3 linked regions of the Drosophila melanogaster genome follow. The protein of the gene in region 1 purifies or fractionates together with the protein of each later gene. This does not show direct contact. Each region holds a gene or a part of one and is shown on either strand. Other genes may lie near its edges.

Evidence for each region.
Region 2: the proteins of Idh3a (region 1) and CG3008 purify together in Drosophila melanogaster (affinity purification with mass spectrometry, with the first as the bait; one large-scale study listed by BioGRID). This does not show direct contact.
Region 3: the proteins of Idh3a (region 1) and Sec63 purify together in Drosophila melanogaster (affinity purification with mass spectrometry, with the first as the bait; one large-scale study listed by BioGRID). This does not show direct contact.

The regions. Positions count from the first base shown.
Region 1 is NC_004354.4:19,520,043-19,523,794, forward strand, and holds the start of Idh3a (isocitrate dehydrogenase 3a), read right to left. Parts: upstream 1,763-3,752; 5' UTR 1,658-1,762; coding exon 1,631-1,657; intron 1,355-1,630; coding exon 1,286-1,354; intron 786-1,285; coding exon 618-785; intron 257-617; coding exon 1-256. Other genes in the region: CoRest, read left to right, coding at 3,054-3,273, 3,345-3,392, 3,453-3,587, 3,673-3,752. UniProt on the Drosophila melanogaster protein: Probable catalytic subunit of the enzyme which catalyzes the decarboxylation of isocitrate (ICT) into alpha-ketoglutarate.
Region 2 is NT_033779.5:4,881,581-4,885,332, forward strand, and holds the start of CG3008 (uncharacterized protein), read left to right. Parts: upstream 1-1,717; 5' UTR 1,718-2,007; intron 2,008-2,065; 5' UTR 2,066-2,066; coding exon 2,067-2,759; intron 2,760-2,810; coding exon 2,811-3,752. Other genes in the region: Cf2 (chorion factor 2), read right to left, coding at 1-812.
Region 3 is NT_037436.4:7,358,850-7,362,601, reverse strand, and holds the start of Sec63 (secretory 63), read right to left. Parts: upstream 2,042-3,752; 5' UTR 1,695-2,041; coding exon 1,571-1,694; intron 964-1,570; exon of another isoform or gene 859-963; coding exon 149-858; exon of another isoform or gene 81-148; coding exon 1-80. Other genes in the region: pst (pastrel), read left to right, coding at 2,578-2,681, 2,752-3,134, 3,213-3,751.

The sequences.
Region 1 (3,752 bases):
GCTCGATGCCGGAGTACTCGCCCTCGGTGTTCTCACGGATGGTGACCACGTCCACATCGTCGTACAGCGTCTTGTAGCCCTCGAGACTGCGGCAGGGACGCACGTTGGCGTACAGATTGAACTCCTTGCGCAGGGCCAGATTCAGAGACCGATGGCCCTTGCCGACGGGCGTCATCAGAGGACCCTTCAGGCCGATCTTGTTCGTGTTCACCGAGTCAATGGCGGCCTGTGGGATGCCGAACTTTCCGTCGGGTCCCTGTTAACATGTCACGCACAAATGAAATAAGAAGTAAATAAATAAAGCTAGCTCGCAAATTGTTTTATATATGTGTCGTCTTCTCCGACATATGTATGCATTTTTTTTTTGGCTTTTAACAGAGCAAATTAATATTTGGCGAAAATATTGCATGGATTCGTATCCATTGATTTGGCATTTATATCGAATATATGGCAATGGAATGTTAACTAGAGCCTGGTTGTATTTCAAATTTACCGCCCAGACGACCGTAGTTGCCACCTGTTGTCAAACGGCCACGCGCTTCGAAGGCGATGGCGCTCAACTTGGATTTGAAATGTCAAGTTGAACCACTAACTCTGGCTGGGATTACGACACTTACCCGGACGGGGGTCACGTCCACGGCCTCCCACTCGATGGGGACATTGGCGGCGGTGAAGATTTTCTGCACGGCCGCAGAGATCTCAGGTCCGATGCCATCGCCAGGGATGAGGGTGACTTTCTTGGTGCCGGAGGAGTAGGACCGGCTGGCGGCGGGAGTCGCGTTGACCTGGAAAATAGCAAGACCATAGGCGGGTTACAGAGTGATCTACAGAAATGGTGGCGAGAAAACGCATAGATGGGCAGCAGCAACAGCAGCAGCATCTAGCGGGATTACATAAGTGCCCATGCCAAACAAAAATCCCGTCCGCCCTACCCCCCGTGCCAAACAGTTCGTCGCGTTGAGGTTAGAGTGCACAAATGATTCCCACGGCGCTGATAAGGCCGCAAATCAGGGCCCAATCTCGGTAACTGATTTTTTCCCGCCTCTCGAGTAGGGGGTGGGATTTTCGAGGGTCCGAACCACCCGCCCTGCCCGCCGTTATCGATATCTCGGCCACGCAACGAGGGAGCGAGAGAGAGAGTGTTATGTAAAGTGAATGCGAATTCTAATGCTGTGCTCTTTTCGTTTTCGCCGGACGGACAGCTGATGTCCTGGCGAAGGAGGTGGTGGCCCCCACTGCGGATCCCGGATGGTTCCGTCGCTGCCGCCGCTGTTATGGAACCAACCTGGCTCACTGCTGGCGTCGCAGTCACCGCCGGAGCATCACGCGCTGCAATCAAACCCAGTTGATTGAGCTGCAAGTGTTTTGCGTAATGTGTTGTTGTCGTTGGGAATCGCGGAATCGCAGATCATTGCATCGGTGGTTTGCAGGGTTGGTTAGCGGGCGTGGAGTTGGAGGGCAGGAGCGTCGGACGAGAAACAAAATCGCAATGTTAGTGGTAGTTGGCCAGTACTTTTTGGCCAGCACGTAATCAACTGCTGTCCTGCAGAATTGGTTTGGTCGCTGTATGGTGGGGTTAAGAGGCGCGACGCGGGGCGGGTCAAGTCGCTTAAGCCTAAACGGGTCTTACAATTTTCTGTATGAATCTAGCAGCCATTGCGTTGGATCGGTTTTTGCACTGATTCCTGCCGTATATTATATAGAAAAAAGTCTGTCTTTTTAGTCTGCGCCCGCCGTAGTCGCCACCTTGCGGAAAACTGGCGAATCTGCGGTATATCGGTCGATAGGCATGCGGGGGCAGCGTCGTTGCCACCTGGACTGCGCTCAGATGGGGGTGGAATTACAAATCACCCATATCCCCGTATTTGTATGCTCTCGCTTGCATCAGTCACATAATTGCTGTACGAGCATCATATGTATGGCGTAAAACCACATTAAAGTTGGCTGTGAATAAACAGATGTCGAATATCGATGTCGTCTGCCCGAAATTCAGTACAGCCTGCCGTGTGGCATCCCTGTACAGGGCAAAAGCGAAATATCGGAGCGGCCTAATCGATAGTTTGTGTATCCCTTGCAACCGTGGCTGCTACAGCCACAGTTTAAATTAATTTGAGCATTCGCTCAGTTTTCTGACGTATATTCTAGAAAAAGTGCTGAGAGTGTCCATCAAAAAGGGGCAAGCGAAGCCGTTTCTCGATCTCCAACGAAAACGGGGATAGGATAATCCAAGGGGCCGCCTGTCGAGAAGCCAGGCGAGGGCAAAAAATCGGATCAACCGACAGACAAAGCTGAACTGCGGTCGTCGGCGACAAAGTGCGCTGTGCCCACGGACGACCAGAGAGAATCGGTACGCGAGTGAGTTTTTTTTTCCGCGTTTCAGTTTGGATTTCAGTTACCTGCGCGCAACAACTCCACTGACCAGCCGTTCGCAGCGTTCCGTATCTGGAGTTTCTGGCCAAGAGTACTCCTTTCCAAGTAGCCCCAGCTCCGCGTCCGGCAGGCCGTACTGCGTAAGCGGGCGAAAACGGTACGTGCAGTGAGATCCGTGTGGCAGCGTCTTCGGTTGTGTGCTTGTGGGGCACCAGAGTACCAGGTAGGCGTCCTCCGAGTCCCTCCGTGTCCCTCCGTCCAGCCAGATTCGGATTCCTGCATTCAAATCCAAATGCATTGCCGTTTCCAAACTCAGCTGGCTTGGCCCTCACCCATACACCTATACACGCGTCGCTAGCACACGCAATACACGCGCATACGCTCACACGGACGCACGCACACTTATGAATGTATCTGTTTGACAGCGCACTTCTGCGCTCGTTGCGGGAAAAGTGCCTCTTGCCAAGCGCACACTCTCGCCAAACGCGGTGCAGAGTTTCTATTTGCTGGATTTTTCAGCCGGAGAGCAGAGTACGGCTGTCATCCGTGTCCGAATCAGTCGTTAACACATGTCCCCACTGTTCTTGCAGCTCCGCAGTGCTCGTGTTCGCTAGTGCTCGTGTTTAGCCAAAACTAGCACCCTGGAGAAGCATAACAAGCGCGCCCAGCTCATCCGGGACAAGATGGTGTTGGCGGAGCGCAACACCACGGATGTGGTGCGCAACGGGCGCCGTTCGCGCGGCCCCAGTCCCAATACGCACACCACGGGCGGCGTCACCAACAGCGCCAGCCTCGTGGGCAGCGGCAACAACAGCGGCCACTCCGGGAACGCCAATGCGAACGAGAAGACCACCACAGCTGTGCCAGGTGCAGGCACGCCGGAGAGCTCCGACGACGACAACTGTAAGTGAAACGCCCCGGAATTACCTTCCTGCCACTTCAGCCCACTTATCTGTACCGTCTCCCTTTTCCAGCCACCAAACGGAACGGCAAGAGCAAGGCCAAGCAGTCTGAGTACGAAGGTGAGTACCTGTAGTCTTTTTCCGCACGATGTGGTCTTTAAACAAATTTTCATTTCATAGAGAAAATCCGCGTTGGACGCGACTACCAGGCGGTTTGTCCGCCGCTCGTTCCGGAAGCGGAGCGCCGCCCGGAACAAATGAACGAACGCGCCCTCCTCGTATGGTCGCCCACCAAGGAGATTCCTGATCTGAAATGTACGTATTAGTGGCTTACTTGCCCATTTGATCTCTGGGTTGTGCCAGCGAATAGAATACTAAGACACGTATTGTAACCTTGCAGTGGAGGAGTACATTTCGGTGGCCAAGGAAAAGTACGGCTACAACGGCGAACAGGCATTGGGCATGCTGTTCTGGCACAAA
Region 2 (3,752 bases), on another chromosome or scaffold:
ACCTGCTGCTGTTGCGCCTGCTCCTGCATTTCACGCTGCTGCTGCTCCAGCAGTTCCTGCTGCTGCTGCTGCTGCTGTTGTTGTTGTTGGTGCTGTTGCTGATGGTGGTGCTCCGCCTGCAGTTGCTGCTGATGGTGCTGCTCCTCGGGCGTCAGTCTCATATCACGGGGCGCCATTGCCGGCAGCTGATCGTCGGGCGTCACCGCCGCCTCCTGCTGTTCCATAAAGCCCTGCTGTCCGGCAGCCAGCATGGCGGTGGTGCAAATGGAGCCGCACTGCGTGCATTTGTACTCGTTGGGCTGCTGGGTGGCCGAGTGGATGCCATAGATGCTGCACATAAGGCAGCGGGACAGGAAGGCGGGCGTCTGATGGGCCAGCCGATGGTGTTCGTCTAAATCGACGGCGTTGCCAAACTTTTCATCACAATTGAAGCAGGGGTGGCTGAGCTTGGGGTGCTGCTGTGCCTGCGGATGACCGCCGTCCAGCGTGGCAATGGCTCCCTGGGCGTTCAGCGTGATCCCGTGGCACAGCTGCATGTGATCCGCGACGTGCTGCGGTCGCTCAAACTGCTGGTGACACATGGGACAATAGTGCGGCGACACGTGCACATTGGGGTCCATGCTGAGATTGGGCAGAAAGGCTGTCTTCAGGGTGTCCATGTTGGCTATCACGGTGGCCACTTGGTGCGTGGGCGTGGCTGGGGCGGCGGTGGAGGTGGTGGCTGAGGAGGGGGGCGGCGGCGGCGGCGCTGGCGACTGATCCTCGGGGCGTGGCAGACGCTGTTCCTGTGGATTCGTGGTGGACTTTATCATTTCACTTCCGCTGGCGCTTGGAGAGTAATCGCTTCTTTTGGTTTGACTTGGTTAGTGGGCAGGAGCAGGAGCAATTGGCGGTTAAAGAAGGCGATATGCGCTGCAGGAGTAATAAAAATCATAATTACAGGCGGCCACAAGCGAATGTATGTGCAAGCGTGTGGGTGTGTGCTGGTGTGTATGTGTGTGTGTGTTCTTTGAGTCTGGCAGTCGCAAATTAGCAGGAACGAATTCGGAAATCACAAATTCACGAAATCTTCAGTCCCGATCTTCTGCATTTGACCCCCAATGTCCCCCCACAGCGGCTGGCGAAGAAGAGGAAGAAGGAGGAGGAGATGAAGAAGAAGAGGAGCGGGCAGCAGCAGCGGCAATGCGTTCGAATTGAAAATTTTTTTCAGTCTGTCATATTCTAAATTCGGAATTCTATTTTGATTGCTTTTTCGGTCTCTCGTTTTGTTTCCATCTTTCTTACCAGCGCACTGAATATTTACTGCACCTTGTTGTTGCTGGCGGCCGTTCGATTTTGTTGTATTTGGAGCGGGGGTCACGAAAATGCTGGGGCGGCCAATCAGTTTAATAACATTTTCTCCTTTGTACAACAAATAAACGTATATTAACAAAAAAAATTTTTCACTTTTATTATTATTTTTGGCGAAAAATGTACAACTACAACAAAAAGTATCGATTACTGGCATCGAAACTACGATGGCAACGTCGCTCTAGAACTGACGATGTGGCAACGCCCTTGCTAACGATATATTTTTCTGCCTTTTCCTAAAATATGACAAATAAAACGTTTTCTAAGTATGCAAATTAAAGTATAATATAACTTTAACTTAACGTTATAAAAATTGTAAGCAAAGCTTTCGATATTAGGAGTTCTTCTATTTCCAAATTTATCGGGTCTATCGTTCTGCGATAGCTCGATACTTTCATAAGCTGATAATTTCACAACAATTGGAAAAAGGATTGTTTGGAGAAATACAATAGAAATATTATTGCAACAAGGGTTGCAATTGGCTTCCCCTTATATTGGTCATCTATAGTGCCAAAACTGTCACTTGTCCTCCACCGCGGACATATCAGAGTCCACCTGCAACCCGCCGTTGGTCAGGATTTGGACAGAGGCTTGTTTGTAAACTGCCACAATTACCACCGATATAGAACTCGATCTTCTCAAGCCAAGTTCCAATAGGTTTGTGGAATCACAGCACCAAATTGTGATCTATATTGACTCTCTTTCGATTGTGCAGAATGTCGTCGCCATGGGTTAAGACCAGCGAGCCTGTGCAGCAGGTGAATCTGGCGGATATAATGTCGGAGCAATATGCCCACAAGTTGCACGACAAGGAGCTGCAGCGCCACACGGAGAAGCTGAAAAGACCGGACGAACAGATAGCACCCGTTTGGGGGTCGCAAGCCTCATCCCCGCCAGCGCCCAATGCGCAGAGTATCCAAAGTGATGCGGAGGATTGGGAGGATTACTCTGCGCTCCTCAATGACGAAGGAAACGTAGCGGAGGACATTCAGCTGCCGGAAGACAGCGATGCAGTTATTGCCCAGCTGTTGCAGTCCCAGTTCGATCACGAGTACAATGAGGAATTGCGTCGTATCGAGCGGCAGCAAAACAAGCAATCCAAGGTCACTGTTACCCTCAATAAGTTCCTACGTGATGGCGATGCAGAGTTCTTGCACGACACCGCGGAAGATGACTACGAAGAGGATGAATTGGAGCAACAGAAGCACGACTGGGATCGGTTCGAGGACAATGAACGGCAGCTTGACTCCATACCTCGCTGCGGCTTTAAAGTTAACAAGGAGGGCGAGATGATAACAAAGCACGATCCGCAGCTGTGCGCCGTGCGTAATGCCCAGCGCGTGATGTCCTTTCCGCCGGAGTTTCCCACCGGTGATGCTGCCGGTTTCGACATGAAGCTCTCCAATAAGGTTAGAAGCGGTCAGTTTTAAGCGATAATAAGACTTAAACGTACCTTTCAGGTGTTTAACCAACTACGAGCCCATTCTCGACGAGGCCGCTCCGACAAGCACGAGAAAGTGGCCACCGCGGAGATGGGATTGGATGCGGGTACACGTTTGCTGCTGTACAAGCTGATCAATAACCAAATACTGGAGCAGATCAACGGCATTATATCCACGGGCAAGGAGGCGGTCATCTTGCACGCCAATTCCGATGCGAACTATACGGGCAGCAACGAGCATGGTCACCAGAGTGGTGTGCTCGTTCCACCGCAGCTTTTGCCCCGGGAGTGTGCCATTAAAATCTTTAAAACCACGCTCAACGAGTTCAAGCAGCGCGATAGATACATCAAGGATGACTATCGGTTCAAGGATCGCTTTAGCAAACAAAACCACCGAGTGATTATCAATATGTGGGCCGAGAAGGAGATGCATAATCTGATGAGGATGCAAGCCATTGGCCTAAACGTTCCAGACGTTGTTGTGCTGAAGAAGCACGTGCTGGTAATGCGGTTCATCGGTGACAATCATAACGCTGCGCCCAAGTTAAAGGATGCCCGTCTGAGCGACGCGGAGCTGAGTTGCGCCTACGAAGAGATTGTGGCCGCGATGCACAAGTTGTACAATGAGGCGAAGCTGGTGCACGCCGATATGAGCGAATATAACATACTCTGGTTCGAGGGCAAGTGCTGGTTTATTGACGTGGCCCAGAGTGTCGAACCGAAGCATCCCAGTGCCCTGGAGTTCCTGATGAGGGATTGCGGCAACATTGTTAACTTCTTTGAACGACGCGGCCTGCCCAACATTTACACCAAGGAGCAGTTGTTCGAGTTTATTACGGGTCTCAATTCAGAGGTCCACACCGCCGCTCAGCTGGAGCAGATCCACACGCGTGGCGCTTCCATTAGCCAAGCCACTGCTCCGAATCAGGAGGAGTGCCCCGACGAACTGAAACCCTTGGAG
Region 3 (3,752 bases), on another chromosome or scaffold:
GCGCGAGCCTTGATGGAGTACATGCGGCACAGCGGATGCTCCTTGCACTTCTCATTCAGATTGGGCAGCTGTCTAATCAGCTGTATTCGAAAAGGAAGTGTTATTAGTGAGCGAACAACGAATGGAAATTCCAATAAAATGCACTCACCGCCGGCACCTCGTCATTGTCCGACTGCCGCTCCTGGACCTGCGAGTTGTGTCGCTTGTCAAACTCCAAACTGGCTGCCAGAACCATAAGTGCCCGCTTGAGCAGCATGTGCGGTGTCTTGTGGATGAAGTAAAAGTACATCTGAGTGGTATCGAGCAGCACTTTGTCGCCACTGAAGCGGATGGAGCGGTACCACCAAACACCCACTGCCGAGGGCATGGCCACCATGAAGACCAGGCCGTACAGACCCAAAACCCAAACGCTATTCTCCTTCTCCACAATCCACGAGGGCAGGGCGATGCCAAAGGACATGGCACCCGGTCCATCCGGATTACCATACTTCTCGTAGTTCTCCTTTGCCACATCGTCGGTCAGCGCCTGGTACGCTTTGCTCAGCATCATGAAGGACTTCTCGTCACCCGTCTCCTTGTCGGGATGGAGCACCTTGGACAGCCGGTAGTAGGCCTTCTTGATCTCGGCCTGCGACGACGTCGGCGGCACATTCAGGATCTCGAAGGGATCGAAGCTGGCCATCTCGTAGTCGAACTGCGAGACGCGGTACGTGAGGAAGAGCAGTAGGGCCCACCCCAGCACTATGGTCAGCTTGATGGTCCATGACGTGAGAGCTCTGTACGGCTCGGCATTGGCCAAGATGGTCTTCTTTTTCTGGCAGTCGGCGCACTGACATTCCTCTTTAAGTTTGCTGTTATCTGCAAGTATGTGTACGAAAATTGGGTCAGTACGGGGATTATATAGGCTATTTTAAAATATTTGAAATTTATCATTTTCACTTAAGATGGCTAATAAAATGATTTAAAAAAAAAACGATCTTTACAGGTACCTGCTAACCTGATTACGATTAAAATTAGTTGAGGTCTGTCTACGCATATTGCATTTTTTTTTTTACCGGGAATGCCAGCGCTACAGAAATGAAAATCTCGCGAGAGGAAAATCGTGAGAGAGCAGCCGATTGGTCAGTGAGCGTGTGTGCAAAGTGCACAAGCACAGCATGATCGCGATAAGTCAAAGGTAACTTGCTCATAATCACTCCTCCTCCACCGATCACGATGATAGGTAAGTTATCACGATATTAGCGACGCATGGACGCTTGTGGAGCGTTGAGTGCGCTGTCCCAATTGGAAAACGAAGAGAGCTCGACTTGCGGTAATCGCAGCGCAGCTTTCACCCATACGAAGACGATGAGCTGACGTTGTTAGAATAACTTATTGGAACGTGTCCATTTAGTTTGTTGGTGGCGGCGGGAGGGTTAGAGCAGGAGAGCGTGGTAATCACATGTATGTCTATGCCTTCGCCTTACTGGCACTCACTTACACACATACACACGCGCACAGCTGCAGGTGGAAAATTAAAAAACAAGAGCGGAGAGAGTGCGATTTAAATCGGCTGGCAAGCGGCACTTACCTTGTTTCTTTTTACGTGGCCAATAGTAAATGGTGGTCGGTATCAATATTAGCGCCAAGAACGATAACACAAAGTAGTAGAACGTTCCGCCGCTCTCATCATACTGAAACTTTTGACCCGCCATCTCCGACAGCGACTATATGTATTTTGTATTTTGTCTGGCACTGCCTTTTGGCTCCGTTCCGTTCCGTTCCTTTCTCTGCCGCCGCTTTCCCCTGCACTTTTCCTCCGGCAGATCCAGCTGATGTTGCTGTCGCGTTGGAGTTATCGCTACAATCGCTGCGCCCCGTGGATTCTCGATCGACACGCGGCGATCTGCGAGATTCGAATGGGGCAGGAGCTGGTGTTGTTGCTGCTGCTGCTGCAAGATATCGCGAGATTGGCACGCCGCGAACTTAAAAAACTCTGTATTTACACCGACGCATGAGACTGACACGTAGGGTTGTTTGGCTCGTGCTGGAACCGATAGGCGTAGCTGGAGCGGAGCCGGTTCGATTGCACGGCTATCGATAGGCGGGAGGCAGCATTCATAGTTTAGGGTTGCCAAAGCTGGCAGTACTAAGTTTAGAATCTGATTTTTTAGGTCACCAAGTACTAAAAATGTTTGCAAGCAAAACTTTTGTCAGCAAGTTTTCAATGTAAATGTATATTTTTAAATGGATTTGCCTATATATATATATATATATATTTTTTTTTTTTATAATATAATATGTGCTCGCTAGAAATACAAAGCAAATATCTGATTAGCATGAGCTCATCGTCTCGTTACATTTTGGGTTTAGCACGCTAGCAGCTTTTTAAATTTTGCTCACCAAAGAAGGTGACGGTGGAATACGGGGTATTCATATAAAGGTATGATCCCTAGAGAGCTTTTCTGCCGTCTTGCCTTTTCGGTATTTCGAGTACGATCGTTCAATTAGTGTGCGCCTTAACTTAAAAGCTGGTGATTCCGTGGCACAACTCCATTAGCAGCACAACTGTGGCAACGGAAAGGTGACAACTTAGGGATGGCGAATAGATTAGGAAACCATGAAGTTACCCGCACCGCACGTGAAGTGCAGCAAAACTTTGCCGAGTCGCTCGGCTACGCGGAAGAGATAATCTGGGATCTGTAAGTACTGCTACTGCGCATTAGAATTTTGAATTCAAAGTATTTGGGGTAATGACGTAACCCCTTACAGGTTGTCCCATGAACAACATGACGTGCTAAGGGGCAAACTCTGTCAATTGATTCGTGATTCTCCGGAACCGAAAACTGCAACGGAAACTGAAAAAGACAGAAAAATCCGGCTGAAGGTCAACGCAGATAATGAGCGCGCCCGTCAGATCATTTTCGATTCCGTTTGGCAGCAACGTGAGTTGGACTTACAGATTGTATATAGTATAGTACATTTTTTCGCTGCCTTAACTGCGTACAATTGTTTTCCAGGAAAGTATACCAACCGTCAATCGCTGACGGCGATCATTTACGTAATGGTGGTAACTGACGAAACGGACGTCAATCGCGCCGAGGACGCCAGAGTCTTCAGCGTGCACCCAGTCTTTCGGGCCCGTCGATGCGTCGGTGAGTCATCCTTTGCATACGTATGCAATTTACAATATATTTCCTATCTATCTATCAATGGATCCATTTAATACTCAGTTGGCAGTAGTGGCACCAGCAGCGTCAGCTCGAATTGCTGCAATCTGTTTATCGACGAGCTTGGTCGGGTCTACCAAAACTGGGAGATGTATGTGACCACCAACGAGTTGCCTGCCGGAGTGATGGTGGCCCCAGAGAAGGGTATTTACCGCTTGGTCAGGGATCAAGTACGTCTGGATAAGTACACAACGCCGGCGGGCACGACCAACAGGAAGGTGCTGGGCTACCTGGATACTGGGTCGGCAGTCGGAGGATTTTTTGCTGCCTGTGTGCCCATTGCTGCCCTGCTAACGCTGCCCGTATCCGCTCCGCTGATGGGCGCAGCGGGAGTAGTAGGTTTGGCCAGTGCTGGATACGCCGCATCGCGGTCTGGCAGCAAGCTATTCGATCGCAGCCAACATGAGCAGTCTATCAATGTGACGGACCGCGAAGCGCGTGGTCACTGGTTGGGCGTGGCTGGTGGCACTGTGGGATTGGCAGCGGCTGGGGCCACCACAGTCTTGACAACGGCCACAAATGCTGGACGCGAGGTGGGAGCGG